Xenopus tropicalis: one gene and its partners. The protein of the gene in region 1 binds, or shares a complex with, the protein of each later gene. Links are inferred from orthologs where the notes say so. Each region holds a gene or a part of one and is shown in the gene's direction. Other genes may lie near its edges.

Region 1 (8,009 bases):
GAAGGAATGGAGCAAGGGGGTATTTGAGGTAACTGGGATTTCAGAGGCACTAAGCTGGCGCTGGTAGCGGAATGGCTGTAAAAAGGAGCGCCCCACATCCTTATGAGTGACCCCAACCCACTGGGTACATTGAGAAGCTGGAACCTGTGGATTTGAAGGTTGGTCTCGGTCAGAGCTACTTGTAAACCTCAAGTCAGAGACAGAAACATCCAGAGTTGGAGTGTTCTCCTCTAAAGCAGAGTTGATCTCAGAGAGCTCCCATATTGGTGGTACAGAAGGCTTCTGCACCCCAACAGCCTGGACCACCATCTCTGAATCTTGCAGTTTAGGTACTTGGATGTCCACGCATATTGCATCAGTGGCCTCTTCCTTATAGGGTGTTGACACTTTTGCACCATAGAATACCCCAACAATAGAGTTACTTAGTGGTTCTGGGGCTAAAGCAGACAGTTCAAACACCTGACCGTCAGGTGGTGGGAATGGAGACCTGCTGAGGCAGGGCACGATTTCCTCAACAGTCATTCGCTGCTTCTCTCCACCTACAAGAGGGCTAGACTCCGAAACCTTAAGCAGGAATGGTGACCCACCGGGCTTGGGACGGGTTCTTTGATCCAACAGTTCAATCCCCGAGGAACAAGGAGAAGAGCTACTCTGAGCTGTGGCCACAAATCCCAAGTCCATGATCTCGGTCAATGTGAGGTTGGAGCTGGACATAAGGAAACTGATACCACTGCTGTCCCAGCTGATAGACATCTTTTAGGCTTCTCTCAAACCTATCAATTAAGAAAAAGCAGTAGGATATTAGATACCATATTTTATTTTTGAAACCAAGAATTAGAGGAAACCCATGCTTAAGTAACTTATGATAGGGGAGCACACATGAACATATTTGGTACAGCAGGTATCCATTTGGGCACAAGCCACAACCCTGAGGGCATTAAGAGACTGTCCTACGATCTATCATTTATCTTGGCACCTCAGTGGGGTCATAGCAGATGTGCGAATGGCCAAAGCTCTCACTTAATTGTTCATTCATACTAAAAAGACATAGCACTCTGTAAAGCCACTCTTATATCTAATGAGTAGCAATCAAGGGCAAACTAACAATAGCAGGAAAGCCAAGTCTAATAGATTAGGTCTGGAGAGTTATTGTAATATTTATTACGGATAGTAGGCTGGGATAACAGTTGGAAGCCAGAAGGAACCAGGCTCCAGTAATCCCACTATTATACACCTCTAAAAAGGACATATGATTAAGAGATTTGTATATAAGCACTCCCTGTAGGGCTTTGCCAACTATCCCACAGCATTCAATTAGTTAGAATTGGCTTAGGGCAGTTAGGATAACAACACACAATACTCCCAAGTGTGAAAAATCACTGCAGGTGTAGCAGGTTGTTACTATTCTTTAAATGGGAAATGTTGCAAGGGATGCCTGTTGTAGGGTTGCAGAACAGGGAATGTGAGTAAGTCTATGTTGTTGTAGTAGTTTTACTATTGGGAAGTCACAGGCCAGTCCAGGCGCAGACTGGTAATTTGTAGATCCAGACAAATGTGGGGCTGCTGTAAGATGCCATAAGGGGGCTGTTTGGGTCTCTATGTACTTGGAACATATTTTGTATCCCAGTCCTGGTCCCCTCAAACAGCATATTGCTTGATGAAAGTCAAATATTCCAACATGTATTTTTGCCTCCAACATATTAAACAAAGAACAACAAAGTTTACCCAAAACAGACAAAGGAAAACATATAAAACATCTCAGCTTCCAAAGCCATTTGTGCATACAACAGCCAACTGGCATTCAAATGAATGGCAAGCATCTCAGCACCTATCTATGTCTCTGTTAATCACCTGGCCAACAAAATGGTTAAATTACTAAACATGCCAGCACCTTCACACAGCAACACAATATGGGTTTGTACTAAGCCCTAGTAACAATTACGCGACACACCACCAACTTGATTCCCTTTGTGCAGCCACTTACCTTCCCTGATAGATTTCCTCTAAATGATTTATTCTGGCTTCCAGGCAAGTAGCCTTTTATATAGTGTTTTAGGAGGTTAAGTAGCCAATCAATCTCGCCTTGTGACCCCACCCATTATCCAATTATCCCATTCCTCACTTGTAGTTGTTAGGCCAGACCAGCTCATAGGGATGCTGGATACTGAGGAATGTGAGAGCCATGTTTCAAGGGAATGTTAACTGTTACATTAAATTTGTATTTGTTATAGAGACATCCCTGCTGTACCCCCATAACGTCTTCCTAACCTAACACCTCTCCATTTATCTTCACTGTCTACTTTATAACCTTCCTCCATCTCAGTTATGGTTTCCCCCAGTCTTCTCTCTCATATAGAAGTTCCATTTTGCTCCCCCTGTTCCCAGTTGCAGAGGGTGGAAGGGAAAGTGATATAATTTCTGCCTTTACTGAGGGTTCTTTCCACTACTGGGCAGTCACTCCTAAGCCATGCTGCTCAGACTGGGTTCAGGAGAGGTTATATTTGAGCACATACCCCACCCCCCCTCAGCAATACCACTTGTAGCCAGCCAATGGCAGTCCTGTAGAAGTACCTAATAAACATTTCAGGTTTTTTTTGTTTTATTTATATTTCCATTCTATTTTTTTTCCAGCCTGCAATTGCTTAGTTGTCAAGGTTACCTAGGTAACTGAAAAACAGACTGACTGTGAAGGTTCCATTTCATTATTATTATTATACTTCTATGTTTGTTGCTAGGGAACTCCCATTCTAGTAACCAGGCAGCAGTTCAAATTTAATGTTCAAAAACCTATACACTCATAGCAAATCTGAGGTGGTGATGTCAGCGTAAACCCCACTTAAAATGCATGGCTTAACGCTACCGTCGCCAAAACTAAGAGGAAATGACTGTCTAGTCTGGAAATTTTTAGAATCCTCTGTCACTCGGGTTGTTACAAAACGTAATAGGCGCCAGAAGCTGTCCCTCATTTCTAGCTTTGATTGGTCGCCGGGAAATCGCTGACATCAGTGCGCTTGCTGTTCATTGGTTAAAACCGGACGCATGGCCCTCCCCACATATAGAAGTGACAGGCACCTAGAGCGCCTCCGTATGGGCTGTAGGCCCCGCCCAGGGAGTGGGTTCCGCCCCGGAAAGGGAGTTCTGTGGGTGCGTGCGCAGCTGGCGGGAGATAGGAAATAACAATACCGCCACAGACTGCGCACTGAAGTGTCCGGAGCGGCAGGATGTCCCGGCGGGCCCGCGGGTGAGCCTGGCACTAACGGGTGGGGCAGTGGGGCTGCACATACGGGCACAGCTACTACTTTAGAACCCGGCGGCCTTTTCTTACTACTTTTGAGTAGGTGCCAGTCACTGGGCGTCTGCTTTGCGCTTTCAGTTCTGCGCCTCCTCCCTGCCCTGTGTTATCGCCCTTACCCTGGCCTTGCCTCTGCCCTGGCCTTGCCTCTGCCCTGGCCTTGCCTCTGCCCTGGCCTTGCCTCTGCCCTGGCACCTGCCCTGGCCTTGCCCCTGCCCTGGCCTCTGCCCTGGCCTTGCCTCTGCCCTGGCCTTGCCTCTGCCCTGGCCTTGCCTCTGCCCTGGCCTTGCCTCTGCCCTGGCCTTGCCTCTGCCCTGGCCTTGCCGGGCTCTCACCTATTGGCCTTCTCTGGATTTACTAACTTCCCCCATTCTGGACTTTCCTGTCTAGTTGGGCTTCTCTGTCGGTTCCACATGCCTAAACTATAGCTAAACTATTCTACTGCTTCTCTCTCCACAGCTGGGCTCTTTGCTCTCTCCCCAGTCTCCCCTTCCCTCTACCCCCCAGCTCTCTCCCCAGTCTGCCCTTCCCTCTACCCCCCAGCTCTCTCCCCAGTCTCCCCTTCCCTCTACCCCCTCAGCTCTCTCCCCAGTCTGCCCTTCCCTCTACCCCCCAGCTCTCTCCCCAGTCTGCCCTTCCCTCTACCCCCCAGCTCTCTCCCCAGTCTGCCCTTCCCTCTACCCCCCAGCTCTCTCCCCAGTCTGCCCTTCCCTCTACCCCCCAGCTCTCTCCCCGGTCTCCCCTTCCCTGTACCCCCTCAGCTCTTTCCCCGGTCTCCCCTTCCCTGTACCCCCTCAGCTCTTTCCCCGGTCTCCCCTTCCCTCTACCCCCTCAGCTCTCTCCCCAGTCTGCCCTTCCCTCTACCCCCCAGCTCTCTCCCCAGTCTGCCCTTCCCTGTACTCCCCCAGCTGCCCATCACTGTCACCCCTCACCTCTCTCCCCAGCTGCCCATCACTGTTGCCCCCTCAGCTCTCTCCCCAGCTAGTATTGCCAACCCTTGTTTTTGTCTATTATCTTTCTAGCCTTCTCTTTACTTCCCTTGTTCTGTCTCCCCATAAGGACTTTCCATGTCCACCCCGAGTGGGCTTCCGTGCATTGCCCCATTGTCCGCTCTCCCCCACCCCCATTTGCACTTTCCTATGAAGCTTCCACTGTCCTCCCTCTGAGAGTTTTCCTTTGGCTTTCCATACACTTCAGGGCATGCATATCTGCCCTACTACCCCATATTTCTCTCCCTGTGCTTCCCACATTTCCCAGTACTTCTCAGACCTTCAGTAATGCTATGTTTGTGCACAGCTGGCCCCCAACGACCCCTTTTGTTTTGGCTTTTGTCTTATTGCGCCAGGAGGTTAACTTGTGACTCTCCAGCTGGGTTTGTCCCTGCTCTCTCAGTGCTCCATTCCAGCTGAGCGCCACGTTCTGCAGCCTCCCTGTGCTTGTTTGCCTGTCTCTGCTCCTCATTTATAACCCTTCTTAAAGAGAAAGAAGTTTTTGTCGGCCATATTTCCTTAGATTCTTAGTAATTTCTTTCTTGTATATCTAGGAACACTACACTTTTTGTGTAAAGGTGCCTCAGGATGTCATGCTGATTACAACTCCCTCCCCCACCTTCACACTTCTCCCCTTTGCAACCCACCTACATTGACTGCATTTACAGAAATATAATGCACTTATCAGACGCTTAAGTAAAACCCAAGGATGACTTCCCTAGTGCACAGTTTTCTCTTTTTTTTTTTTTTTTTTTTTTGTTCATGTTTCTGCCTGTAACCTTGTGTTCTGTCCCAGCTATGTGCCACATGTAGGATCCTTTGCTTTCCCAAGCTGAATTCCACCCCACCCCCCTTTCTAGTTGACCCAGCCCCTATGTGATATCTCCAAAAGCAAGCTGGAGAGGGGTTGCTGGAAAGTTCGACCTTCGCATTTGGAGTAGTGGCCACCCTCATGGCACCCTGGTTTTTTTTTTTTTTTTTTTTAATCCTTGTTTTGCTAGATTAACAGACACCCTATTCCCTGGGTGCTTTGAGTAATGCTGCCTCTTTCCATATGCTGAACCTGTGCTTATTTCTGGGACACTGTTGCATGTTGACTAAATACTAATAATAATTTTTTCTTTAACCCATACAGAGATGATCTTGAGGATTTGCAATATCAGGACACAGACTCTGATGTCCCGGAGCCAAAGGAAAGCAGGGTCAAAGTGAAGTGGACCCCAGAAGAGGTACAGTATGCAATTAGATGTATTGCTAGAGCAATACAATCCAGAGTCCTTATCTCTTGCCTAGGGCTGGATGAGAACCCTTCTGTCCCTCCAGTGCTGGTCTTTGGACTTCTTACTGTGACTGACATCTCTGTCATCCTCTGGGGGTCTTATATGTTGGTGATACTATTTACATAAAATAGTACAGGGATGTCACTCCCCAGTATTAGGTCATGCGTAAAAATTGCTCCCGTCCGTGTTTCCCCCAGTAAGGTATTAATTATTGTTTCCATTTTGTTCTGTTTCATTAGGATGAGACGCTAAAAGCCTTGGTGAAGAAGCATGGACAGAGTGAATGGAAGGTGATTGCCAGTAACCTTACTGTAAGTTCCATCATCCCTTCAGTGTAAATCTTACATTTCACCATGCTTTATAAGTCTTATAGAAACGCAGCTTAGTGAGCAAGTGCAATTTTCCTATTTGGTTTTTATCCGCAATGCAGCTTTTTGCTGGAATCCCTACACAACTGTAACAGCGCTGGGAGTTGTAGCCACTGCATTTGTCCCAACATGACAAAGCTAAAGCAATTGCGCATATAAAAATCAAGTGCAAGTCATGGGAACTGCATCGGTTCTGGCACTGGGCATTAAAGCAGCATCAGCTTGTGATTCTTTTGGTGCACGACTGCATTAGGGCTGACATCTAGGCAAAAATGTGTGAAATGTCAGTTGGTGTCTTCAACATACACCAATAGGATAAAAACCTCATATAAAGTAGGTCTTCTGCTGTTAAAGTATATCTGATTTGCTGGCCCTGGGCAGATGTTACCTTTGGCCTACAATGGTTTTATGGCTGTTTTGATCAGGGGACACTTTCTGAACTGATGACGAGCTAGTCTATGTACACTTAAAACTCCCTATTTCTTGTTAACATTTATTTCCATTACTACCCCCTTTTATACATCTTAATTCCATATTAGGGTATATGCTGGTTATGCCTTTCCCCATAAGGGAAAATAGAACCCAGAAATCTTATGGCTTAATGGAGAGGTGTTTATGCCCTTTCAGCGCTGTTAGACATCGGATGGCACTACTTGGTGTGAGCAAAGGTTTAGTACAATAAGCACTGTCTTTTTGTTCCTTAGTCTTAATGTTTTAGTAAGGTGTTTACATTTTTGTTTTTCCTCCAGAATCGTACTGAACAACAATGTCAGCACCGCTGGCTTCGTGTTCTTCATCCTGACTTGGTTAAGGGTCCATGGACAAAAGAGGAAGATGAGAAGGTATGAAGTGAGGTATCTGAATAGGGGAATACATATTATTATTGGTGTGGCAGCCCTGATAAACTACAATTCTTTTGTAGTCTTTGGAGGGATGCTGTGAGCTCAACATCCTTGTGGCTTACGTTGAACTTTGTCTACCTCTGATAATTCTTTCTAGGTGATAGAATTAGTGAAGAAGTATGGCACCAAACACTGGACCCTGATTGCTAAGCAGCTCAAAGGCCGCATGGGCAAACAGTGCCGCGAACGATGGCACAATCACCTCAATCCAGAAGTGAAAAAGTCCTCATGGACAGAGGAAGAGGACAGAATTATATGCCAAGCCCATAAAGTATTGGGAAATCGCTGGGCTGAAATAGCAAAGCTGCTTCCTGGGAGGTAAGAGAAACCCACCTTTGCCTGTTAAACTCCTCTTTACTTCAACTGTTCAGGCTGTCTAAACAGTGCAAACGTGGCCATACTATGCATAGCATCTTATACAGCAGGGATCCCCAACCTTTCTTACTCGTGAGCCAAGTCAAATGTAAAAAGACTTGGGAAGCAACACAAGCATCAAAAGTTCATGGAGGTGCAAAATAAGGGCTGTGATTGGCTATTAGGCAGCCTTTATGCACACATCAGCTTACAGGGGGCTTTATTTGGTAGTAAACCTTGTTTTTATTCAATCAAAACTTGCCCCCAAGTCAGGAATTCAAAAATAACTACCTGGTTTGGGGGCACTGAGAGCAACATCCAAGGGGTTTGGGGAGCAACATGTTGATCATGAGCCACTGGTTGGAGATCACTGTTATACAGTATCTATCTAACCCAAAGGCCAATCAGACACTGTACAAAGCTGAAATGTGTACAGCAGCCTTAAGCCTTCAATATACTGTCCTGGGGGAAGAATAAACTGAAACATTACCTGTTTAAGGAAATAATTGGCTTTCCTAAAACATTTTACCTTCTTTCAAAACAGTTTTCTCACTCCCACCCTGACCAACTTAAGTTAAACTAAGCTGTTGATAATTTGTAAACAGGCACTCTGTTTCCTTTTGACTTGTATATCAGGATATTTTGAAACCCATTGTTTAGGTTTAAATAACAGTATTGTTTACACTTGCCTGTACAGCTGATTGCTCATGTAGCCATAAGAAAACTTGGCAAATTGTCTAATGGTGACCATTGGCTAATCAGACTACCTACAAGTAAAGGTCCTTGTCTAATGGGCCTCTGTGGGCCCCAGAGTATGATTTGCT
Region 2 (6,745 bases), on another chromosome or scaffold:
CTTCTTTGAACTCAAGTAGAGGGACTGTCCAGATTTAAATGAATTAATCAGGAGCAGGCAAAAAAGGCACTTGTCTAGGGTGATGGCTAGTCCCATACCTCTTCAGCATTTCTACTGTTGGCTCCAGCCCTTGAGTGGCCTTTTATAAATTTTAAGGCTGTTAATTTATTAAATACAGGAACAAATTAAAATATCTTTAGATTTTTTTATATCAAGAGATGAGTTATGTATGTAAATTTCAAAAACATTCATTTTGTTTTTCCATTTTAGTACTGGAATTACCCAAAGATATATCTGATTTATTTGATCAAACAAAAGGTATGTAATGGTTTTCATTTAATTTGCAATGTCGCATAGGCAAAGGCAGCCTTGTTTAAAAGTAGAGTGAATGTTGCCTTTATATTTAAGATTGTAAAAGGGCTAGTTAAAATGCATCTTACCTCTGCATATCTTATCTCTGAAATAGTGTTCAGCAAAAGCCCCCAATTACATAAATGCAGAGACGCTCCTTGCCTTGAGGAAAAGTAAGAATCTTGCTCAAGCAGCAGTGTGCAGGCAGGTTACCAGGGGTGGCAAAAAGCTTCTGTTTACTTTAAGGGTGAAGACACACCGAGCTACTAATAGCAGCTACTTTTTCACAACTACTAAACTCCAGAAAATACTTTTCCTTAGGAAATAGTCTATTTTAGTAGCTGCTACTAGTAGCTCCGTGTCTTCACCTTAAAGGAAAAATAAAGTCAAAGTCACTTGGGGGTGCCAAAATGTTAGGCACCCCCAAGTGACTTTGACCGCCTACCTTTTACCCCGGGCTGGTGCCCCTGTGAGGAAGGAACAGCACCAGCCCGGGGTAGCTGCCGGCGCTTCCTTTTCCTGATTCGCTGCGCGCGCATGCGCAGTAGAGTGAAAAGCCGAACTTAAATGTTAAAGTCGGCTTTTCACTCTACTGCGCATGCGCCCACCGCTGGCACTCAGGAAAAGGAAGCGAGGAAGACGGAAGCGCTGCGCTCCAGGTGCCCCGGGCTGGTGCTGTTTTCTCCTAACAGGGGCACCAGCCCGGGGTACGAGGTAAGCGGTTAAAGTCACTTGGGGGTGCCTAACATTTTGGCACCCCCAAGTGACTTTGACTTTCGTTTCCCTTTAAGAGCAGAAACTCCATACTTTATACTGGAAATTTTACTCTTCTAGTGTGGAGAGTGGAATCTGTACTTGATACAATATAGATAAAGTGGGGCAGCTTCAGGTGGCATGGGGGCACAAGCAACCCTATATATGTAACGTTCAGTTGCTGCCGAAGGAGACTAACTCAGCTGAGGTGAGCAGTAAGGCACATTTCATCTGTGTGGAGAAGCAAATATGTAACAGGAATATTCATCTCACAGTGAGCTAAAAATGAATGCTTAGAAATATTGTGGTTTGTCCCTGAACATTGACACAATTACTGTTTTACTGTATATAGGCAGACCATGGTTTATCTGAGGGCATGACTTATTAAATGCATGTAACATTCACTCTGTCTGTATTGCTGCTTGTGATGCTGCTTAGCCAAGGAAATAAATATGACCGCTCCTACTTACAAACTTCTACTAAGTGAAATAATGGTCACTGCAAGATATTTGGCTCTGCACCTAAAATATATGTTTAAGTTATATAATGTGCAATCATTTTATTTGCATACACATACTCTTTAACCCTTTAAAAAGAAGTACAGGGCTACTTATAATGAAAAGAAGTAAATCATTAGTGCATCCATGTTTTACAGACTTCATATATAATGTACTTGTCATATTATTGAAGAATTTTGTCAAAATAACTTTGTTCCCTCCCAGAATGCATCACTTCAGACTTGTTGGAAGAATTAATGTCCTCGGAAGGTGAGTATCACTGTTCAAGGCATAGTTTCTTTTATGTTTTCCTAAAAGATTTTTTTGTTAAAATCCCATTAAAAGAAGCAAAAAAAAAAAAAGCATTGTGCCATGATTTATCTAAAGGCATGGCTTTTAAGCATAAACCAGTGTGCCGTTTGTATGTGTCCATATAAGTATTAGCTTGCAGTAAGTACATTTTCACAGAATAATGTAAGGATCTAATGTCTGCTATGGTGTGCCCTTACTCTCAAGTATCTGTGCTCTGTGGTGCTAAGGCTACTGCCATATACAGCAGTTTCTCAGCATGCATATAAGCACAGGCACAGAAACAGTCCCTCCGCTCTCTGCAGACACACTGCAGTTTGTTTATCAACTCTGGGCACTGAAACCTATAGCAGTCAGTTATTGGCTTTTTTTTAGCCAGCTGCAGGTAGAACAATGAATGCAGCAGTTTGATTGGTTGCCATAGGTTACTGCCCACAAGCAAATTTGCCCAGTGGTGAAATGACCCCCAGCGTATTTTAGTGCAGAAACGCATCACTATGCATTTACTGCCTAATCAGCTTCTTGTGTTTGCACCCAGGCCAAAAGTATTGTCTGCAGCTGCAAACACACTATAGAGCAGATTGGAGCCAAGAGGCTGTAAATGCAGGCCGGACAGCTAAATAATGGATGACCACTGCAGAGCTGATAGCAAACATGCTGCAATAAAACTTGAACTTTTGCTTAAAGTAAAGATTTATTATACATATTATATAAATAAGCAGTTCTTCTAGTCAAATAATTAACGTTTTTGGTGTAATTGGCTCTTTAAATTGCATATTCTAAGAGCCGTGGCAGATGGGGAGATTAGTCGCGGGCAACTAATCTCCCAGATATGCCATCTCCACTGACTTGAATGTAAATCACCAGTGGGATGGCATACGTGACGCCGCGGGCGACTAATCTCCCTGTCTGCCATGGCACTTAGGGGCAGGTTTATCAAAATGTGAGATTAAAGTTTACCACTGAAAAAATTACTGTGATTTTTAAAAGTGTGTTTATCAGTGAATGAATAGAAAGTGAATGAGTTTTTTCTGTGGTAAACTCACATTTTGATAAACTTGCCCCTTAGGGGCAGATTTATCAAATCACGAGTTCGAATCCCAAATGGGAAAAATTCGGATTGGAAACGAAAATTTCTGAAGATCGCAAATATCACGAAAATGCTTACGAAAAAATTGTATTAGTCACGATAATTTCGTATTGGTCACAAAATGTGCGTACCGTACAATTTTAAACAGCGGTAAAACCTTTCCAGTTTTTTCGTGCAAGCGTATGGGGAAAAGTCGTGCGGCGTACGACAAAATCGTGCGGACGCCCAAAAAATTCAGCGAAAAAACGCTCTGAGCGTTCATGCCTTTGTTAATGTGCCCCTTAGTGTTGGTATGTAGAATGATGTTGGTTGTATAGGTATAGATTTGTATTAAGATACAGTCTCTCTATATAAATCATATCAGAAGCACTTATGACTGATACCACTGCTGGCCCTGTATGTGGGCACCTGCTTATGCTTGAAAATACTCATGATTTTTTTTTTTTTTTCAGTTTTTGCTCCTCTGCTCAGACTTTCTCCTCCTCCTGGTGATCACGACTATGTCTATAATTTAGATGAAAGTGAAGGAGTTTGTGACCTCTTTGATGTACCCATCAACCTCTGATATTTTGAACTCGGCTTTGGGCCTTATTTGTGAATAAGAACTTTTTTGTTGTCTTTTATGAAGAAATGTTTCTATTTTTGGATATCCGCGTGAGTTGTTACGGAAACCATACCAGAGACATTGCAGTGCAAAAAGACACTTAACTCCTCTCACTGTGAGAATCCGCTCATAACTTTTCCATCCCTGTGATGAGAGGACTGCTTGGCAAACCCTTCATAGAGGTTGTCTGTATTGATCCAGCTTTATTAAGTCCATTACTACATCTGACAGAAGCTTTTCACAAATTTCAAGCACTTAACATTTTTGCTGAAGTACATAATATTTGGATTTTTGGCTGAGTGTGCCTCAGTATTTGGGCTTAGAAGTTCTTAAGTCTGTCCAATAATATAGTAGGTGTGCAGTACCATCCTCCATAAACAAATGGTTTTCCATGCAGTAACCGTAAAAAATAAGCTTGGTTGTCTTTTATTATGCTCTGACCTCACTCACTGCCAAATCGCTGCCAGTCACTGTCTAGCTAATTTACCTAAATGAAAGAAGATGTTGATATGAAATTATTTTTCTACATACATTTGCTGCGCCACATGAACTATTTGTAATTTTTGTTTTCTACAAAATAAACCCGTATTTGCCAGTAGCACTTTAGGGATGTAAAAACAAACACCCAGAGCAGCTGTGTGACTTTGTTGGGGTGAAAGTGGTGAGATTCAATACAAAAGCTGTGCAGTCCATTTTAGTCCAAATGATACACAATGATTGCTGGCACTGGAGTTGTATGGAATTGAATTATATTATAAACTTGTGCTTTAGAAAGAATATTATAGTGTAAAGAGTTACCTATTTATAGTCACTTCTATGACCGAATATACGTTAAGATTGGCATTTTCCTTTGCACATAGCTTTCATATATTTGTAATATGTTAGGTGACATGGTACCATGGAGATATGTTGTTTCTCCCAGACAGAGATCTCCTTGTTTTTAATACCAGTGCTGCTCCACCTGGATCTCAGTCCAACGTTTAAGTAGAATATTAGGACTTAGTCTATGTTGATTTAAATTGATTTTATTTAATATACTGCAAATATATAATATATATAATGTAATTCCAGTGTCAGTAATCAAGGTAAGGAATATACTTTCTGCAAAAGGAGTTCCTTGGCCATCACCTCCTCTGTATGATAGGAGATATTTACAGTGGTGTGAAAAACTATTTCTTGATTTCTTATTCTTTTGCATGTTTGTCACACAAAATGTTTCTGATCATCAAACACATTTAACTATTAGTCAAAGATAACACAAGTAAACACAAAATGCAGTTTTTAAATGAGGGTTTTTATTATTTAGGGAGAAAAAAAATCCAAACCTACATGGCCCTGTGTGAAAAAGTAATTGCCCCCTGAACCTAATAACTGGTTGGGCCACCCTTAGCAGCAATAACTGCAATCAAGTGTTTGGGTTAACTTGCAACGAGTCTTTTACAGCGCTCTGGAGGAATTTTGGCCCACTCATCTTTGCAGAATTGTTGTAATTCAGCTTTATTTGAGGGTTTTCTAGCATGAACCGCCTTTTTAAGGTCATGCCACAACATCTCAATAGGATTCAGGTCAGGACTTTGACTAGGCCACTCCAAAGTCTTCATTTTGTTTTTCTTCAGCCATTCAGAGGTGGATTTGCTGGTGTGTTTTGGGTCATTGTCCTGCTGCAGCACCCAAGATCGCTTCAGCTTGAGTTGACGAACAGATGGCCGGACATTCTCCTTCAGGATTTTTTGGTGGACAGTAGAATTCATGGTTCCATCTATCACAGCAAGCCTTCCAGGTCCTGAAGCAGCAAAACAACCCCAGACCATCACAATACCACCACCATATTTTACTGTTGATATGATGTTCTTTTTCTGAAATGCTGTGTTACTTTTACGCCAGATGTAACAGGACACGCACCTTCCAAAAAGTTCAACTTTTGTCTCGTCGGTCCACAAGGTATTTTCTCAAAAGTCTTGGCAATCATTGAGATGTTTTTTAGCAAAATTGAGACGAGCCATAATGTTCTTTTTGCTTAAAAGTGGTTTGCGCCTTGGAAATCTGCCATGCAGGCTGTTTTTGCCCAGTCTCTTTCTTATGGTGGAGTCGTGAACACTGACCTTAATTGAGGCAAGTGAGGCCTGCAGTTCTTTAGATGTTGTCCTGGGGTCTTTTGTGGCCTCTCGGATGAGTTGTCTCTGCGCTCTTGGGGTAATTTTGGTCGGCCGGCCACTCCTGGGAAGGTTCACCACTGTTCCATGTTTTTGCCATTTGTGGATAATGGCTCTCACTGTGGTTTGCTGGAGTCCCAAAGCTTTAGAAATGGCTTTATAACCTTTACCAGACTGATAGATCTCAGTTACTTTTGTTCTCATTTGTTCCTGAATTTCTTTGGATCTTGGCATGATGTCTAGCTTTTGGTCTACTTCTCTGTGTCAGGTAGCTCCTATTTAAGTGATTTCTTGATTGAAACAGGTGTGGCAGTAATCAGGCCTGGGGGTGACTACAGAAATTGAACTCAGGTGTGATAAACCACAGTTAAGTTATTTTTTAACAAGGGGGGCAATCACTTTTTCACACAGGGCCATGTAGATTTGGAGTTTTTTTTCTCCCTTAATAACGTAAACCTTCATTTAAAAACTGCATTTTGTGTTCAATTATGTTATCTTTGACTAACAGTTAACGGTTTTTGATGAGCAGAAACATTTAAGTGTGACAAACATGCAAAAGAATAAGAAATCAGGATATAGTTTTTCACACCACTGTATACCCTCCTTCCTGCTACTTACTGCTATTAACCATGAAAAAGCCTTTGCAGCCACAAGCAGTGGATGATACAAATGACAACTTGTAGCTGTGGATTCTGAGAGTAGTTCTTGAAATGAAAAGGTCTTTATTTCATGTGTCCCATCGCTTCTGCCGGTATTTTCCTTGGCATCCGGCTCCTTAAAAATTGCCACATGAAAATACTTGACATGCTTATTCATGTACATATTATATGTTTAATAAGGTTCACACTACCTTATCACAGCAATCATGGTTACTCAAGTAGTAATGCACAAAAAAAAACAAATATTTTTTTTTGTACCATGAGACAAATTTTTATCCTTGGATAAACAAATGTTTGCATCTTATGGTCTGAATGAGTAATGAACTGAG
Region 3 (7,901 bases), on another chromosome or scaffold:
GTGTTCTTACGGAACAATGTGGTCCCCACCCCCACAGGTGTACGGAAAATCCTAACATCAAGAAAATCAATCACATCTTTTGACTGATTTAAAGTAAACCTTACTGGAGTAGGTAAATCATTCAGGGTGGCCACGAACGATTCGACCCCAATCTGGTCCCCACGCCAAATAATGAACATATCGTCAATGTACCTACGGTATAGCAACAAATTGTCTGCATATCTAGGATAGATATATTTACATTCAAAGGAGTTCATATATAGATTGGCGTATGAGGGGGCCACATTGGAGCCCATCGCCGTGCCAGTCCGCTGTAGGTAAAAACTCTGAAATAGTTACATGTCAAGACCAACTGCAACAGAGAGCACAAAAATTCAATTGGCGGAGACCCCTTGTGTCCATCAATAAGTGCCTCCCTGCATGCTGTAATCCCCTCGTCCAGAGGGATAATGGTGTACAAATTACACACATCAAGTGTCACAAATAGTGTATCATCAGGCAGTGTATCACATTGCCTTAAAATCTATAATATGTTGCCGAATGAAGTAGGCAACATACAACTTTTACCAGCACAGGGTGATAATTGATGATGTGCATCTTACTAATCTAAAACTTCCACTACTAAGGTGATGGCTCAAGGTATGGTGATTGTGTTAAAGGTTATATGCAGCATGAATATACAGTAAAATATTTTATTGAAAGTCTGCGGCAACTAAAATGCATAATATAAAAAGCACATAAACAATGCTTAATAAGTATAATTTGTAGAGTGCATGAACTTATTTGTATTTAAAGGTTGGGCCAGCCAGGACCTTTCAGCGTTCCAGAATTTGTACCCTCAGTGGTTTATGATGTACCAACCCTAAAATAATTATTTAAAGCACCAACCAGGGCCTGACTAGGGGCAGGCAGAAGAGGCATGTGCCTAGGATGCAAAAATGGGGGGTGCAAGCACCTACCTCTTCTCCCTGTCTTCCCATAGTTTCAGACGTCTGAACCCTTGGGTCAGGTAAACGGGGGGCATGTTTGGGGTGGCTGCTTACCTTGGTGTGCCCTCAGGCTTAGGTCCGCCATTGGCACCGACATATGTCAAGAGACCATCATCATTCCATTAATGTACTGACCATTTATGTTTGAGTAAGGTTGTTGTGTAAATGTGACATGCTTAATAAGTATTTTAGGCATTCACTTTCCTATTAATATTATTCTACAGTAAAAATGTATTATATTCAGTGCTTTCATTTTTTGATGTATCTGGTCCCTTGCTGTAAGTCATTGTACCAATAAATGTAAAGTTATCCAATTTTACAAATAAAATCCCATGACAGGCATGTACATACACTCAGGGCTGCCATCAGAAATCACGGGGCCCCCCTCCTCTCACGCCCTGCCCCCCAATGCTCCCTCCCATTAGTACAAAGGACACACAGACATTGGTAGCCAGGGCCCCCCTAAAACATTGGTAGCCAGGGCCCCCCTGCATCCTCCAGCTCACCCCCACATCATACTCCAGCTCCCCCCCAGAGTCCTTCCCAGCATCCTCCAGCTCCCCCCCCAAGCATCCTCCGGCTACCCCCAGCTCCCATCAGAATCCTCCAGCTCCCCCCCAGCAACTTCCTGTGGCTCCCCGCTGCATGTGCACAGCTCACCCCCATTGTCCTTCTGCTCCACCCCCAGTAACTTCCTCCAACTCGCCCCCAGCGACTTCCTCCAGCTCCCCCCCAGCAACTTCCTCTGGCTCCCCTCAGCTTTCCCCCACCGCAGCGACTTCCTCCAGCTCCCCCCCCCTCAGATAAGTGAAAAGTACTGAGTAGCAGATCTGGATTTATACAAAGGCCAGGGCCTAGGGCAACATGCAGACCAGCTGCTGCTTCTAAATTTGGACTGAAGGACTAGAGAAATGCCCCACGCACTGACTATAGAAGTGGGCATGCACATGACTGCAGAGACGGGGGTCTAGGGTGCACCCTCTTTGTAAATCCGGGCCTGTTGACTAGGGTTGCCACCTGTCCAGTGTTTTACCCGCCTTCCCAGTAATAAATTATGCTTGATGCCAACGTTATTAATAGAGAAAGACGAATATATGAATTCCTGTAATTTTTTTTACTTATTATGATCCCCATAGCATTTAAGATGTGAATGTTGGTAAAACATGTTATGTCCTAAATGCAAACATTGCATTGCATTTCTAAATTATTTTCTTTTTTATGAATCATACAAATTACTGGATATGTTCATAAAGGGCTGGGTCCCCCGTAATTGCCATTGATACTGTGACATTCCTTCAAGTCGATTTGTTCACTCATTTTGGACCCCCTGTGAAGTAAAGATGACACAGCCCATATAGGAAAACGTGAGTGTTAGTTTAGAAAGCGTAAAAGCAGGATGGCCTCCTCCTCCAAAGAAAGTATTTACATATAGGAACAGTGGGGCTTAGTTGAACTAAAACTTTCTTTTCAGGAAGGAACATAACGCACGCGTACTAACAGAATAGGGCGGCGGATGCTGCTATGTTGTTTATGAACAGAGTAAGAGACTAGCAGGAACTAGCAAGTATCTCAATCGGCAGCGATAAGGAAAGGAAAAGGCCGACCTCTGTGTTGTTTTGGGCGGGGCTACGCTACGCATTTTCCCCATCTATATTAGAAGAACAGTGTCCTACGCTAGTAGGCCTTTCTAATTGGTGACGAGAATATCAAAGCGTTGCTGTCAGTCATTGCCATTTAAATGGCTGCGCAGTGTGAGATGTGGAAGTGCACCGTTCGGGTGGCGGAGGGGACATAGCCGGGCAACTGGAAGGTCTGAGGATGATCAAGGAGGAAGAAGAAGAAGGGGAAGGCAAGCAGGCAGAAGAACAGCTGCGCTGCCGCTATGACGAACTCTGCAGCAGCCTTAATATGGATGAGAGGGCCCGGGGGGAGGCCTGGGAGTATTACAGTAGGATTAGCCAGAATTATACTCTAGAGGTGAGAAATTCTATTTTTTCATGGGCTTGATGAATGCCTGACCTGCGGCCCTCCTACTGCTGTTGGTGCTACTCTGCTCTCCCAGTCTCCGCTACAGGGCATGCTGGGTATGGTAGTACAGTAACAACTGGACTGGAAAAAAAACAAACAGCGTCGCTGCAAGCTTTGGCTTATTAGCAAATAACTGTAGTAGTGCGCTGTGGAGGTTTTTGCATCCCAGAAAATATTTTCATTGCTTTTTTTTAGTTTATTTCACATTATTTAGCATTTCACCTGGATGCCTATGCTGCATGTGTTACAGCTCCTTATCAGATACGGGAAGGGATGAAATGGACGTGGAGTGCAGTAGTCTGTCATAGCTATGACTTTATTCTGATCGCTAATAAGTACAAAACGGTAACAAAAAAGTGCCTTGCGGGGCAGGAGACAAGAAGGAACTGATTGCATGAGCTTACAATCTAAAGTAGGGATCCCCAACCTTTTTTACCTGTGTGCCACATTCAAATGGAAAAAGTGTTGGGGAGCAACACAAGCATGACGAAAGGTTCCTGGGGGTGCAAATAAGAGCTATGGTTGGCTACTTAATAGCCCCCTCTGTGGACTGGCAGCCTATAGGAGACTCTGTTTGGCATTATACTGGGTTTTTATGCAACCAAAACTTGCCTCCAAACCAGAAATACAAAAATGAGCACCTGCTTTGAGGCCACTGGGAGCAACATTCAAGGGGTTGGGTAGCAACATGTTGCGCACGAGCCACTGGTTGGGGATCACAGATCTAAAGGTTCAGGGAGGGACTGACACATGAGGCTGTTGGAGGATGTGTACAATAATTAACATCTTTCTGATTTTTTTTTTTGTGGAAGATAATTAAAAATGATTAACACGGTATTTACAGTAGTTGCACAACTCTGAATTTCTGTGTTTTATAAGCTGAGAAATCTGCCTAGTTATTTTCACATCCTTTTGACAAGCTATATGGAGTGCTTACTTACTGTATTCTCATCTAACTGAGCGTAGTGCAGATCATTATACCAGCTAACTTAAACTTGGAGTTATGCTACCTGTATATATATATATTAACATGCTGTATATTAGCAGCTTTGACTTGATGGCTGCTGTTTGTTTTGGTTGTGATGAGGAGCAGCTTAATGCAGTCTCCTTGGAGATATGTGGACCTTAGCAATTCAGCTGTTTAATTACTAGGGCTCTTGCAGACTGTGTTATTTATATTCTAACACTGTATCCAAGTAACTAAAGCAGAGAAGTGCTGTATATTCTTCCTTTTTTAAAAGAAATATGATACCTTGAAAATATTTTGTGTTAATCTGAACTAGGTATAGTTCAGATATAGTATAGTACTATTTTATGCAGATCTATAGTTCCCTCTTAATTCTTATGAGTTTGTTTTGTACATATCCCTCCTTTTGTGCGCCATCACCAATAAACCTACAAATTCAAATGTGGGATGGAATACTTTTTCACTAGTAAGTAACTGTAAATTAAACTTACCTGCAGCGCATCAGGGAAGGGAGACCGGAGGATTTGTGGCGCACCCTGCGGGGATCGGGTTGGGGCCGCAGGGGCTCACCAGGTTTGTTCCTGGTGCCCCGGCCGCCCAGTTCAACCCTAGATAAATCAATGGGTAGATTTTCATTAAGTCTAGGGAAGGCTAACCCTTTCCAAACCTGTCTGGCACCTAAATTAAAAAGTGGAAAGCTCTTTGCATTCCTGCAAGGTCCGATACCATTGTTACCAGCTGCACTCTGATTGGATTTTTTTGCTTGCAGCTTCTCCAATCAGAGGGCAGCTCTTTTTACAGACAGTACACTCTCTATCAATCAAATGGAAGGTGGGGATGGAGAGATTTCAGGAACTGAAGGTACTTGGAAGCATGGGTAGGCAGAAGAGGCACCTGCCTATGGCGCAACGGTGTGGCCGCGCCAGGCAGGTGGTATTTCTTTCACCAACCACTAGTTCCGGGCCCTTTCCCCCCCCTACTGTAGTACCCCCCCGCCAGTGGCCCCGGCAACCCCGCCACCCTGTGTGTGCACGCGCGCCCACGTGGGGGATAAGGCGGGCCAAGCCAACCAGGTTGCCCAGGGGACTCAGCACTGCTTGGAAATAAGGATTTACAAGAAACATATGTAAGGTTTTACGCTTTTCCTGCCAAGCATGTATGTGATACATGTTGCAGAAAAAGCCTTTGACTGCCAAGCATATATCACATACGTTCAAGGGCCCAAACCTCTAGGTAACGAGCCAAGTCAGTCTTGTGACGCGATTGTTGGAGGGCCCGACTTCTACCACCAGAAACGGTCGCACTCGTGTCTGCTGTTAGAGCTTCTTCCTACTACCTCCCTGAGTCCGCCCTGCAATCTAGGGACCCTCATCGTTTGAAAGGACCCTCCTCACTAAAAAGGTAGCTTTTTTTTTTTTTTTTTGCTTTTTTTTTATCTTTTGCACATATTTCCACACTTCATATACACACATACACACACTTTTTAGAGGTGTATACAGACACACGTTTTTGTTTTTTTTTAGTTCCTTATTTTATTATTTTGTCTTTCCCCTAAAAATATTTATTTCACAGCGTGACCATTGGATCAGGTATTCTGACCGCTAACCATGCTGTAAAATAGTTTTGTTATGTCACTGATTTGCCTAATTGTATTTCATTTTTTGACTTTTACCCTTTCATTGTTGTTTGTTGCATTTCTTTTAGCATTCTTTTTAGCTTTGCCATTTGCTGTAGAAAGACGTCTTTACCTGTTTCGGATTTGTAAGAATGTTTACTTTTTAAAAATATATGGTTTTCTGAGTGTCTCTTTATATAGTTAGGCGATCTTATGGCACATGATATGCAGTCAGGGGCTCTGTTTTCAGAAGCTGACTTGGCAGGTGAAAAAATTCATATGCACTACTTTTATTTGGGGTCCATACATAACCACATACTTTGGTAAATTTATGAATATTGGGCATTAAATTGTTTAGTAGACCCCTGGTGTTCATATTTAGGATGATTTATCATTGTATGTAAAAAATTGTGTGAGATAAATGTGGTCAATTGCAACATTTTTAGGTGATTTTCAGAAATGTCATCAAAACCGCTAAGTTTAGGAAAGCTTTGTGGTTTGGTAGTTTGGTGTAGAAAGATGTCCTTACCCGTGTTTGATTTGTTAGAATGTGTACTTTTCAAAAATATATGGTTTTCTGGGGTTTTCTGTACAGTTTTAGGGTGTTATGGCACATAATATGCAGTCGGGGCCTCTGTTTGCAGGAGCTGAGTTGGCAAGTGAAAAAATTAATATGCATTACTTTTATTAGGGGTCCATACATAATCACGTACTTTGGTAAACCTATGCATATTGGGCAAACTATTCAGTAGACCTTTGGCATTCATAATTGGTGGGTTTACCTTTGTATGTAAGAAATGTTGCAAATTGCACCATTTTTAGGCGATTTTCAGAAATGTCATAAAAATGCTAATTTAGGAAAGCTTTGCAGATTGGTACTTTGGTGTAGAAATGTGTCTTTACCCACGTTAGATTTTTCAGAATGTGTACTTTCTAAATATATATGGTTTTCAAAGGTTTCTGTATAATAAGGGGGTCTTACGGCACATAATACACTGTCATGGGGCTCTGTATGCAAAAGCTGAGTTGGCAGGCGAGAAATCCATATGCATAATTTTCATTTTGGGGTCAGTATACCACAGACTTTGGTATATCTATGCATATTGGGCATCACACTGTCCACTAGACACCTGGGGTTGTTATTTAGGGTGATTTGCCATTGCATGAAAAAAATTGTGTGAGATAAATACGGCAAATTGCAATGTTTTTAGGTGATTTTCAGAAATGACGCAGAAAGCTTTGCAGATTGTCTACTTTCTAAAATACTTTCTAAAAATATATGGTTTTCAGGGGTCACCTTACATTTTGCCCTCTTTTACCACACACAAAACTGCCCATGTGTTTATGAATTAGGTAAATGTAAGCCATGAAATTAGTGTGCACAAGGTATATTTTGGGGTCTGTAAGTGCCATTTACTTTGATAAACCTATGTATATTGGACATCAAATTGTTGGGTAGACCTCTTGTGTTCATATTTTGGGTTTTTTATATGGTTACCTAATAACCTGTAGGAGATAAGATGGCGCAAAGTGGAAGTTTTGAGGTTATTTTGAGAAGTTTTGTCAAAATCACCAATTTTAGAGAAGCTTTGCAGCTTGGTACTTTGGAGTAGAAAGACATGGGTACCCATTTTAGATTCGGGGGAATATGTACTTTCCAAAAATATATGGTTTTCTGGGTGAACGTTCTTTTTTTTTTTGTTTTGTTTTTTTGCTTTGCCCCACATAAAATTCAGTTAATGTGTTGATTTTGCAGAAGCTGACATGACAGAAATGATAGATCAAATGGGGCATTTTTATTTTGTGGCCCCTACATGCCATATACTTATGTAAACCTATGCACATTGGGCATCAAACTCTTCAGCGGACCCCTGGGGTATATAATTAGGATGTTTTATCTTGGTACCTAATAGTATGTTGGAGGTAGGGTGCTGCAAAGTGAAAACTTTGAGGTGATTTTCGGAAATCTCCTCAAAATCGCCGGCTTTGCAGCTTGGTACTTTGGAGTAGAAAGACACAAGTGCCTATTTTAGACTCTGAGGAATGTTCTGTCCAAAAATTTTTGGTTTTCTGGTCTACATCAACATTAGCTTTAAGCCTGTCAGTGTATGGCCAACTTTAGCCTTGCCAAACAGAAAATTCACCCTCCGCCTATGGATAAATCTGTCCCTGACATTACGTCAGCTTGACGCTGTAAAACTGAATTGGGTAGAACTATGTCCCTAGCCTGTGTTCTGAAGAAAGGAATTTAAATAGACAGTGGAAGTTTTACTACACTATGGAAGTATTTTGTTCACATTGG
Region 4 (8,098 bases), on another chromosome or scaffold:
ACAAGAGTAAGTTTATGCTCTTGCTCGTTTTGTACACTGGGAAGAGGATGCTTATCCAGCCATTGGTCCCAAATTTAATGAAATTTACTTGAACTCCCTCTTTTGAGATAAATCAGTTGTAGCCTCAGTTTATATTATGTTAAGTGGCCTATTAAAGAATCTCCCCAAACTGGAATATATATATATCAGTAAATATTGCCCTTTTATATCCTTTCCCTTGAGCCGCCATTTAGTGATGGGCTGTGTGCTCCCTCAGAGATCAGCTGACAGGAAGTGATGCAGCTCTAACTGTAACAGGAAGTAGTGTGGGAGCAAAAGGCAGAACTCTGCCCATTCATTGGCTGATGGGGCCTAGCATGTATGTGTGCCTTGGCTTGTTTGTGTGCACTGTGACTCCTATGATCCCAGGGGGCGGCCCTTAGTACATAAAATGGCAGTTACCTATTTAGGATTACCCAATGGCACATACTGCTAAATAAGTATATTGATATGAAAATGGTTTATTTAGATGAAGCAGGGTTTTACATATGAGCTGTTTATGCAGTATATTTGTATAGAGACCTACATTGTTTGGGGGGATAGTTTTCATTTTAAGTGTGTGTTTCCTTAACCACCTTCCCCCCCAGATACATTGTGTATGATGTTGCTCAGGTTAACCTGAAGTACCTGCTGAAGCTGAAGTTCAACTACAAAGACAAAGGAGGGTTGCTTTGGTGATGGCCCTGCCTGCAGAGTAGAAACGACTTAGAACTGACTTAGTGCTCTCACTTGCATTCTATTAATCCTCCCCAGGACATGCTGGCCCATCCCTGAAACTGACTCCTAAAGCCCAATGGGCAACCTGTTGGCTGTGGCCAAAATAGCGCCACCCCGTACCTCTGCCTATGCCGCTGCTGTGTGATGGAAAGGCCTATGGCTGCTGCTTGCTTTTCTGAATGCCAAGTGCACAACGAGATGACCCTGAAGGCCGCCTGTTACTGATTTTTTGAGGGCTTTTTGGAGATGCCGTCTTTACGTTCCGATTGTTCTTCCAGAATTCTTCCAGATGTTAACCCTTTATTTTCAGGTTTAATAAAAGTTAAACCGTGACACTATCAAAAGATGAATGTTTATATTCAGTACTGATAGTTGCCTTTATTTCCCCTTTAACGTGCGCTATGTGTAGGCTACACATACTGTATAGTGTTGCGCAGGGATAGCTCACTGTTATGTGACTGTTATGCTATAGGGCAAGATGTGACCGTAAGGATCAATACTGTAACCTACAGACATATCTCTGTAACGTTATCCCATAGATATGTGGATGTTCCAATAAATGCGCTCCGTCTGCCATTCTTCTCCGTCTGTCTTCTGTTGTTATTTGGGTCACTCCAGACTGGCAGCTAAACTAAATGGAAACGGTCTCTTTAAGTTCTTTCTTGAGTATTTTGTATTTATATATAGATATATTTATATATCTATATATAAATATAATATTCCAGCCTTTTTCGGCAGAATTCAGATTTGGCTGAATCCATGCTCCTGGCCAACTGAACCGAAATCCTTACAATCACGTTACTTTTTGTCACATTAACACCTTTAGCTCTTCCATAACCACAGCTTGGGAATGAGGCAGAAGGAAGTGGAACTGATGGCCAGGACTTGGGGTTTTTGGAGAAATTGTCAATAAATCAGCCTGAAACACACACACATATATATAATGAAATTGTTTTTCATACAATATGTCCCCCTTTAAAGAAGGTGCCCATCATTTATTCTTCCGTGTATCCCATTTGGAATTTCAGCAGTTATCTGGTTGCTAAGGTTCACATTTCCTTAGTAACCAGGGAGTGGTTTGAATGAGAGACTGATATTTTTATAGGGAGGACTGGAATAGAAAAATAAGTAATAAAAAGTAACCATAAAATGATAGCCTCACAGAGCAATTGTTTTTTGGCTGCCGGGGTCAGTGACCCCCACTTGAAAGTTGGAAAGAGTTAAAAGGCACGTCATTTGAAACTATAATAAATATGAAACCAATTGAGAAGTTGCTTAGAACTGGGCTTTCTAAAATGTACTAAAAGTTAACGTAAAGGTGAACAACCCTTTTAATGTGGAGAAAACTTTGCAGATTGCTTGGCCTTTGGGCCAAAGACCAGATCATAATTGCTGCCAATGACTGTCTGGGACATTCCCGCATCAATGTGCCAATGTGGTCCTCGTCCTGACTGGAAAATCATACACGCCGGATATAGGTCAGACAGGCCCATCAGCCGGCCCCATATATGGGCCAGTAAGGTGCAGACTCAGTCCATGTACGACCACCTTTAGATATGGCAAAGAAGAGGAATTTGAGAGACAATGGCGGCTGGTTAATGTGGATATTGTACTGGCACCAAGGGAAAACCCTTGTGTTTTTGGACTATTGCAATGTCCAGATAAAGCCTGCATCAGCTTCAACATGTGTCTTACCCTTCGTCTTTGGGGAGGTGTGAAAATCTGTGTAGCGACGATGCACGTCGGCCTAGTATCTATTGGATTAAACTTTGCAATCACTATTACATATTTAGCCAGACAGTTTGGCTGACTTTGATCACCCTGCCCTACTATGTGGGTGCGTTTGGCAAGGTACAGGGCTGTTAGAATATCAGGGGTGTCTGACTCAGGTGTTGCTCTCATGGGTCCATTGCTGACCAACATCTGGCAAAATACAACCTGACTAGCTCATCTGTGGCAGTATTATTATATAATATACCGTTTGGTAATTTCCCTATGGGAGCTTAGTGATGCAATTTCTGCCACAACTCACTAAAACTTGTATATTATAATAAAAAAAAGTATCCTCTGTGGTAAAATATGGGGATATTAGAAGTCACCTTGGGAGTTCCATGACTTGTACAATAATATCCCTATATGTTACAATAGGGGGTACTTTATTCGCTATATATTATAAGTAACCCCTTGCGAACTTATAATATCCCTATATGTTACAATAGGGGGCACTTTATTCACTATATATTATAAGGAACTCCTCGGGGGCTTATAATATCCCTATATGTTACAATAGGGGGCACTTTATTCACTATATATTATAAGGAACCCCTCGGGGGCTTATAATATCCCTATATGTTACAATAGGGGGCACTTTATTCACTATATATTATAAGGAACTCCTCTGGGGCTTATAATATCCCTATATGTTACAATAGGGGGTACTTTATTCACTATATATTATAAGGAATTCCTCGGGGGCTTATAATATCCCTATATGTTACAATAGGGGGCACTTTATTCACTATATATTATAAGGAACTCCTCGGGGGCTTATAATATCCCTATATGTTACAATAGGGGGTACTTTATTCACTATATATTATAAGGAACTCCTCTGGGGCTTATAATATCCCTATATGTTACAATAGGGGGCACTTTATTCACTATATATTATAAGGAACTCCTCGGGGGCTTATAATATCCCTATATGTTACAATAGGGGGTACTTTATTCACTATATATTATAAGGAACTCCTCTGGGGCTTATAATATCCCTATATGTTACAATAGGGGGTACTTTATTCACTATATATTATAAGGAACCCCTCGGGGGCTTATAATATCCCTATATGTTACAATAGGGGGCACTTTATTCACTATATATTATAAGGAACTCCTCGGGGGCTTATAATATCCCTATATGTTACAATAGGGGGTACTTTATTCACTATATATTATAAGGAACCCCTCGGGGAATGTAAATGTGAGTTTTACTGTAAATACCAGAGCGCCAGTAGCGTTCCAGCAATAATGCTCCACAGAATCCCCACAGCCCCCTCTCAGGGACACAACCACTGTGGGATGATGGGACTTGTAGTCCAGAAACAGCTTCAAGCCTCACTTTTAACGAACTACAGGTCCCACCATCCCACATAAAGCCCCTGTGAGAGCCGCTATACCCGGCGGTGCAACCCCGTCCCGTTACTATGAAGGGGGCGCGCCTGTAAGATTTCTTGGCCGCGCACAAAATGGCGCCTGAGGCGGGTACGCGCACGCACTGTTTGTCACTGACGTCACGTTCTCGCCCAGCAACGCGATCCGGAGCCCGAATGGCGGCGCAGAGAGGGGAGTTCAAACCGAGCGGAGGCTTCCCCAGCCCTTGAGTCCCTGGGAGGCCGCCATGAAGCGCATGAAATCGGTCAGGAGCCCCGCCGGGCCCGGGAATGAGGCGGAAGAGGCTCGGCCGCTGGAGCTGCTGGCAGAGGAAGAAGGTGAGAGCCGGGCTGCTCCTGTCAGTAGCGGGGTGAAGGCTCCATAGGGAGCGGGCAGGCTGCCGGGAACTCGGGGTGCGAGTGGCCCTTCTATTCGCTGGTGGTTATTATACAGGGGCCCCCGGTCCCAGCAGCCCTGTCTTCTCCCAGCGCCCTGCTGTGTGTGTCCCTTACTCTCATATCCCTGCCCCTGGGTTCCCTGTGTTATGGGCCCCCAGCCTTCCCCCTAATGGCAGTCACTGGGGGGCCCAGCCTTCCCCTAATGGCAGTCACTGGGGGGCCCCAGCCTTCCCCTAATGGCAGTCACTGGGGGGCCCCAGCCTTCCCCTAATGGCAGTCACTGGGGGGCCCAGCCTTCCCCTAATGGCAGTCACTGGGGGGCCCCCAGCCTTCCCCTAATGGCAGTCACTGGGGGGCCCCAGCCTTCCCCCTAATGGCAGTCACTGGGGGGCCCAGCCTTCCCCCTAATGGCAGTCACTGGGGGGCCCCAGCCTTCCCCCTAATGGCAGTCACTGGGGGGCCCCAGCCTTCCCCCTAATGGCAGTCACTGGGGAGCCCCAGCCTTCCCCTAATGGCAGTCACTGGGGGGCCCCAGCCTTCCCCTAATGGCAGTCACTGGGGGGCCCAGCCTTCCCCCTAATGGCAGTCACTGGGGAGCCCCAGCCTTCCCCTAATGGCAGTCACTGGGGGGCCCCAGCCTTCCCCTAATGGCAGTCACTGGGGGGCCCAGCCTTCCCCTAATGGCAGTCACTGGGGGGCCCCAGCCTTCCCCTAATGGCAGTCACTGGGGGGCCCAGCCTTCCCCTAATGGCAGTCACTGGGGGGCCCAGCCTTCCCCTAATGGCAGTCACTGGGGGGCCCCAGCCTTCCCCCTAATGGCAGTCACTGGGGGGCCCCGCCTTCCCCCTAATGGCAGTCACTGGGGGGCCCCAGCCTTCCCCCTAATGGCAGTCACTGGGGAGCCCCAGCCTTCCCCTAATGGCAGTCACTGGGGGGCCCCAGCCTTCCCCCTAATGGCAGTCACTGGGGAGCCCCAGCCTTCCCCTAATGGCAGTCACTGGGGGGCCCCAGCCTTCCCCTAATGGCAGTCACTGGGGGGCCCAGCCTTCCCCCTAATGGCAGTCACTGGGGGGCCCCAGCCTCCCCCCTAATGGCAGTCACTGGGGGGCCCCAGCCTTCCCCTAATGGCAGTCACTGGGGGGCCCCAGCCTTCCCCTAATGGCAGTCACTGGGGGGCCCCAGCCTTCCCCTAATGGCAGTCACTGGGGGGCCCCAGCCTTCCCCCTAATGGCAGTCACTGGGGGCCCCAGCCTTCCCCCTAATGGCAGTCACTGGGGGGCCCCAGCCTTCCCCCTAATGGCAGTCACTGGGGGGCCCCAGCCTTCCCCCTAATGGCAGTCACTGGGGGGCCCCAGCCTTCCCCCTAATGGCAGTCACTGGGGGCCCCAGCCTTCCCCCTAATGGCAGTCACTGGGGGGCCCCAGCCTTCCCCCTAATGGCAGTCACTGGGGGGCCCCAGCCTTCCCCCTAATGGCAGTCACTGGGGGGCCCCAGCCTTCCCCCTAATGGCAGTCACTGGGGGGCCCCAGCCTTCCCCCTAATGGCAGTCACTGGGGGGCCCCAGCCTTCCCCCTAATGGCAGTCACTGGGGGGCCCCAGCCTTCCCCCTAATGGCAGTCACTGGGGGGCCCCAGCCTTCCCCCTAATGGCAGTCACTGGGGGGCCCCAGCCTTCCCCCTAATGGCAGTCCACTGGGGGGCCCCAGCCTTCCCCCTAATGGCAGTCACTGGGGGGCCCCAGCCTTCCCCCTAATGGCAGTCACTGGGGGGCCCCCAGCCTTCCCCCCCTAATGGCAGTCACTGGGGGGCCCCAGCCTTCCCCCCCCTAATGGCAGTCACTGGGGGGCCCCAGCCTTCCCCCCCTAATGGCAGTCACTGGGGGGCCCCAGCCTTCCCCCCCCTAATGGCAGTCACTGGGGGGCCCCAGCCTTCCCCCCCTAATGGCAGTCACTGGGGGCCCAGCCTTCCCCCCCCTAATGGCAGTCACTGGGGGGCCCCAGCCTTCCCCCCCCTAATGGCAGTCACTGGGGGGCCCCAGCCTTCCCCCCCCTAATGGCAGTCACTGGGGGGCCCCAGCCTTCCCCCCCCTAATGGCAGTCACTGGGGGGCCCCAGCCTTCCCCCCCCTAATGGCAGTCACTGGGGGGCCCCAGCCTTCCCCCCCCTAATGGCAGTCACTGGGGGGCCCCAGCCTTCCCCCCCTAATGGCAGTCACTGGGGGGCCCCCAGCCTTCCCCCCCTAATGGCAGTCACTGGGGGGCCCCAGCCTTCCCCCCCTAATGGCAGTCACTGGGGGGCCCCAGCCTTCCCCCCCTAATGGCAGTCACTGGGGGGCCCCAGCCTTCCCCCCTAATGGCAGTCACTGGGGGGCCCCAGCCTTCCCCCCCTAATGGCAGTCACTGGGGGGCCCCAGCCTTCCCCCCCTAATGGCAGTCACTGGGGGCCCCAGCCCCCTAGGGTCCTGGGGCCCCAGCCTCCCCCCTAATGGCAGTCACTGGGGGGCCCCAGCCTTCCCCCCTAATGGCAGTCACTGGGGGGCCCCAGCCTTCCCCCCCTAATGGCAGTCACTGGGGGGCCCCAGCCTTCCCCCCCTAATGGCAGTCACTGGGGGGCCCCAGCCTTCCCCCCCTAATGGCAGTCACTGGGGGGCCCCAGCCTTCCCCCCCTAATGGCAGTCACTGGGGGGCCCCAGCCTTCCCCCCCCTAATGGCAGTCACTGGGGGGCCCCAGCCTTCCCCCCCTAATGGCAGTCACTGGGGGGCCCCAGCCTTCCCCCCCTAATGGCAGTCACTGGGGGGCCCCAGCCTTCCCCCCCTAATGGCAGTCACTGGGGGGCCCCAGCCTTCCCCCCCTAATGGCAGTCACTGGGGGGCCCCAGCCTTCCCCCTAATGGCAGTCACTGGGGGGCCCTCAGCCTATCCCTAGTACTATCTGTAAGGGCCACCTTCTTCCTAGTCACTGGGCTATGGGGCCCCCAGTACTTACTGTAAGGGCCACCTTCCCAGTCAGTGCAAAAGACACAGATTCTCTTGTTGCCCAGGGCAGGGTTTGTGTTGGTTACACAGTAATGGTCCAGCCCTGCAGTCTGTTGCTAGGGCTCAGCCAATCACAGCGGGGTATATCTCACTCACACCATTGTATCCCTGTGTTTATCTTCATCCCCCGGGGCCCAGAGCCCTGCAAACCAATAGGAACATGGGGGCACTTGCAACTGACCCTTTGAAATACTGAGTGACAGGTTGCCATTGTAGGACCAGAACCCGTAGCCGGATTTTCCCACTCTGTAGCCTAACTTTCAGTACGATGAGACAATTTGCAGTTGGTCTTTTTTTCAGCAGCTAAGTGGTTGCTGGGGATACAGTTTACCTTAGCAACCAGGCTGTGGTGGAAATGAAAAGGATATAAAAATCTATGCAAGTTTCTTATATATATATTAATGATGACTTTTTGTTAGTTTTAAGCATATATATATATCAGTGCAATTGATATTGGGATATTGGGAAGTTGCTTTGAATTACTTTTTTTGCCAAAAACAGTTTGTGGGTTAAGTTCCCCTTTAAACCCCCCTCATCAGACTTACATGTTACTTCTACAGATAGATGAGCTGATTAGATTAAATCTGCCTGAAGTCAGACAATTCTTCATTTTCTTTGTTTCAGATTCCTCTGCCAAAGCGCTGGTCAGTTTGAAAGGTAAGAGAATGATTGGTCTCTTCATATCCCTACTGCAGAGAATGTCTCCGGAGGCGGGGGTTCCTGGTCTCCCACTGTCCTGTATGTTTGTATTTATACATATG

What was found.
Region 2: mybl2 (region 1) and e2f4 share a complex: the UniProt entries of both Homo sapiens proteins name them as parts of the DREAM complex. The link is inferred for Xenopus tropicalis from reciprocal best matches to the Homo sapiens genes MYBL2 and E2F4.
Region 3: mybl2 (region 1) and rbl2 share a complex: the UniProt entries of both Homo sapiens proteins name them as parts of the DREAM complex. The link is inferred for Xenopus tropicalis from reciprocal best matches to the Homo sapiens genes MYBL2 and RBL2.
Region 4: the proteins of mybl2 (region 1) and lin9 are in contact, whole or in part, in a crystal structure (PDB 6C48), measured with the Homo sapiens proteins. The link is inferred for Xenopus tropicalis from reciprocal best matches to the Homo sapiens genes MYBL2 and LIN9. Residues at the interface, in NP_002457.1 of Homo sapiens: Trp663, Ala667, Cys668, Gly669, Gln674, Met677, Gln678, Ala681, Arg682, Leu684, Leu685, Arg687; in NP_001353174.1 of Homo sapiens: Lys356, Gln385, Arg386, Tyr388, Ala389, Thr390, Val392, Leu393, Leu395, Glu396, Asn399, Leu402, Asn403, Leu406.

The regions. Positions count from the first base shown.
Region 1 is NC_030686.2:39,922,612-39,930,620, forward strand, and holds the start of mybl2 (myb-related protein B), read left to right. Parts: upstream 1-3,080; 5' UTR 3,081-3,221; coding exon 3,222-3,241; intron 3,242-5,416; coding exon 5,417-5,510; intron 5,511-5,800; coding exon 5,801-5,872; intron 5,873-6,678; coding exon 6,679-6,771; intron 6,772-6,928; coding exon 6,929-7,149; intron 7,150-8,009. Other genes in the region: uncharacterized protein LOC733539, read right to left, coding at 1-753. UniProt on the Homo sapiens protein: Transcription factor involved in the regulation of cell survival, proliferation, and differentiation. Transactivates the expression of the CLU gene.
Region 2 is NC_030680.2:76,510,107-76,516,851, reverse strand, and holds the end of e2f4 (transcription factor E2F4), read left to right. Parts: intron 1-270; coding exon 271-318; intron 319-1,826; coding exon 1,827-1,871; intron 1,872-3,452; coding exon 3,453-3,565; 3' UTR 3,566-4,226; downstream 4,227-6,745. UniProt on the Homo sapiens protein: Transcription activator that binds DNA cooperatively with DP proteins through the E2 recognition site, 5'-TTTC[CG]CGC-3' found in the promoter region of a number of genes whose products are involved in cell cycle regulation or in DNA replication.
Region 3 is NC_030680.2:49,457,993-49,465,893, reverse strand, and holds the start of rbl2 (retinoblastoma-like protein 2), read left to right. Parts: upstream 1-2,582; 5' UTR 2,583-2,807; coding exon 2,808-2,966; intron 2,967-7,901. UniProt on the Homo sapiens protein: Key regulator of entry into cell division. Directly involved in heterochromatin formation by maintaining overall chromatin structure and, in particular, that of constitutive heterochromatin by stabilizing histone methylation.
Region 4 is NC_030681.2:8,012,802-8,020,899, forward strand, and holds the start of lin9 (protein lin-9 homolog), read left to right. Parts: upstream 1-3,966; 5' UTR 3,967-4,153; coding exon 4,154-4,244; intron 4,245-7,961; coding exon 7,962-7,994; intron 7,995-8,098. Other genes in the region: parp1 (poly [ADP-ribose] polymerase 1), read left to right, coding at 627-717. UniProt on the Homo sapiens protein: Acts as a tumor suppressor. Inhibits DNA synthesis. Its ability to inhibit oncogenic transformation is mediated through its association with RB1. Plays a role in the expression of genes required for the G1/S transition.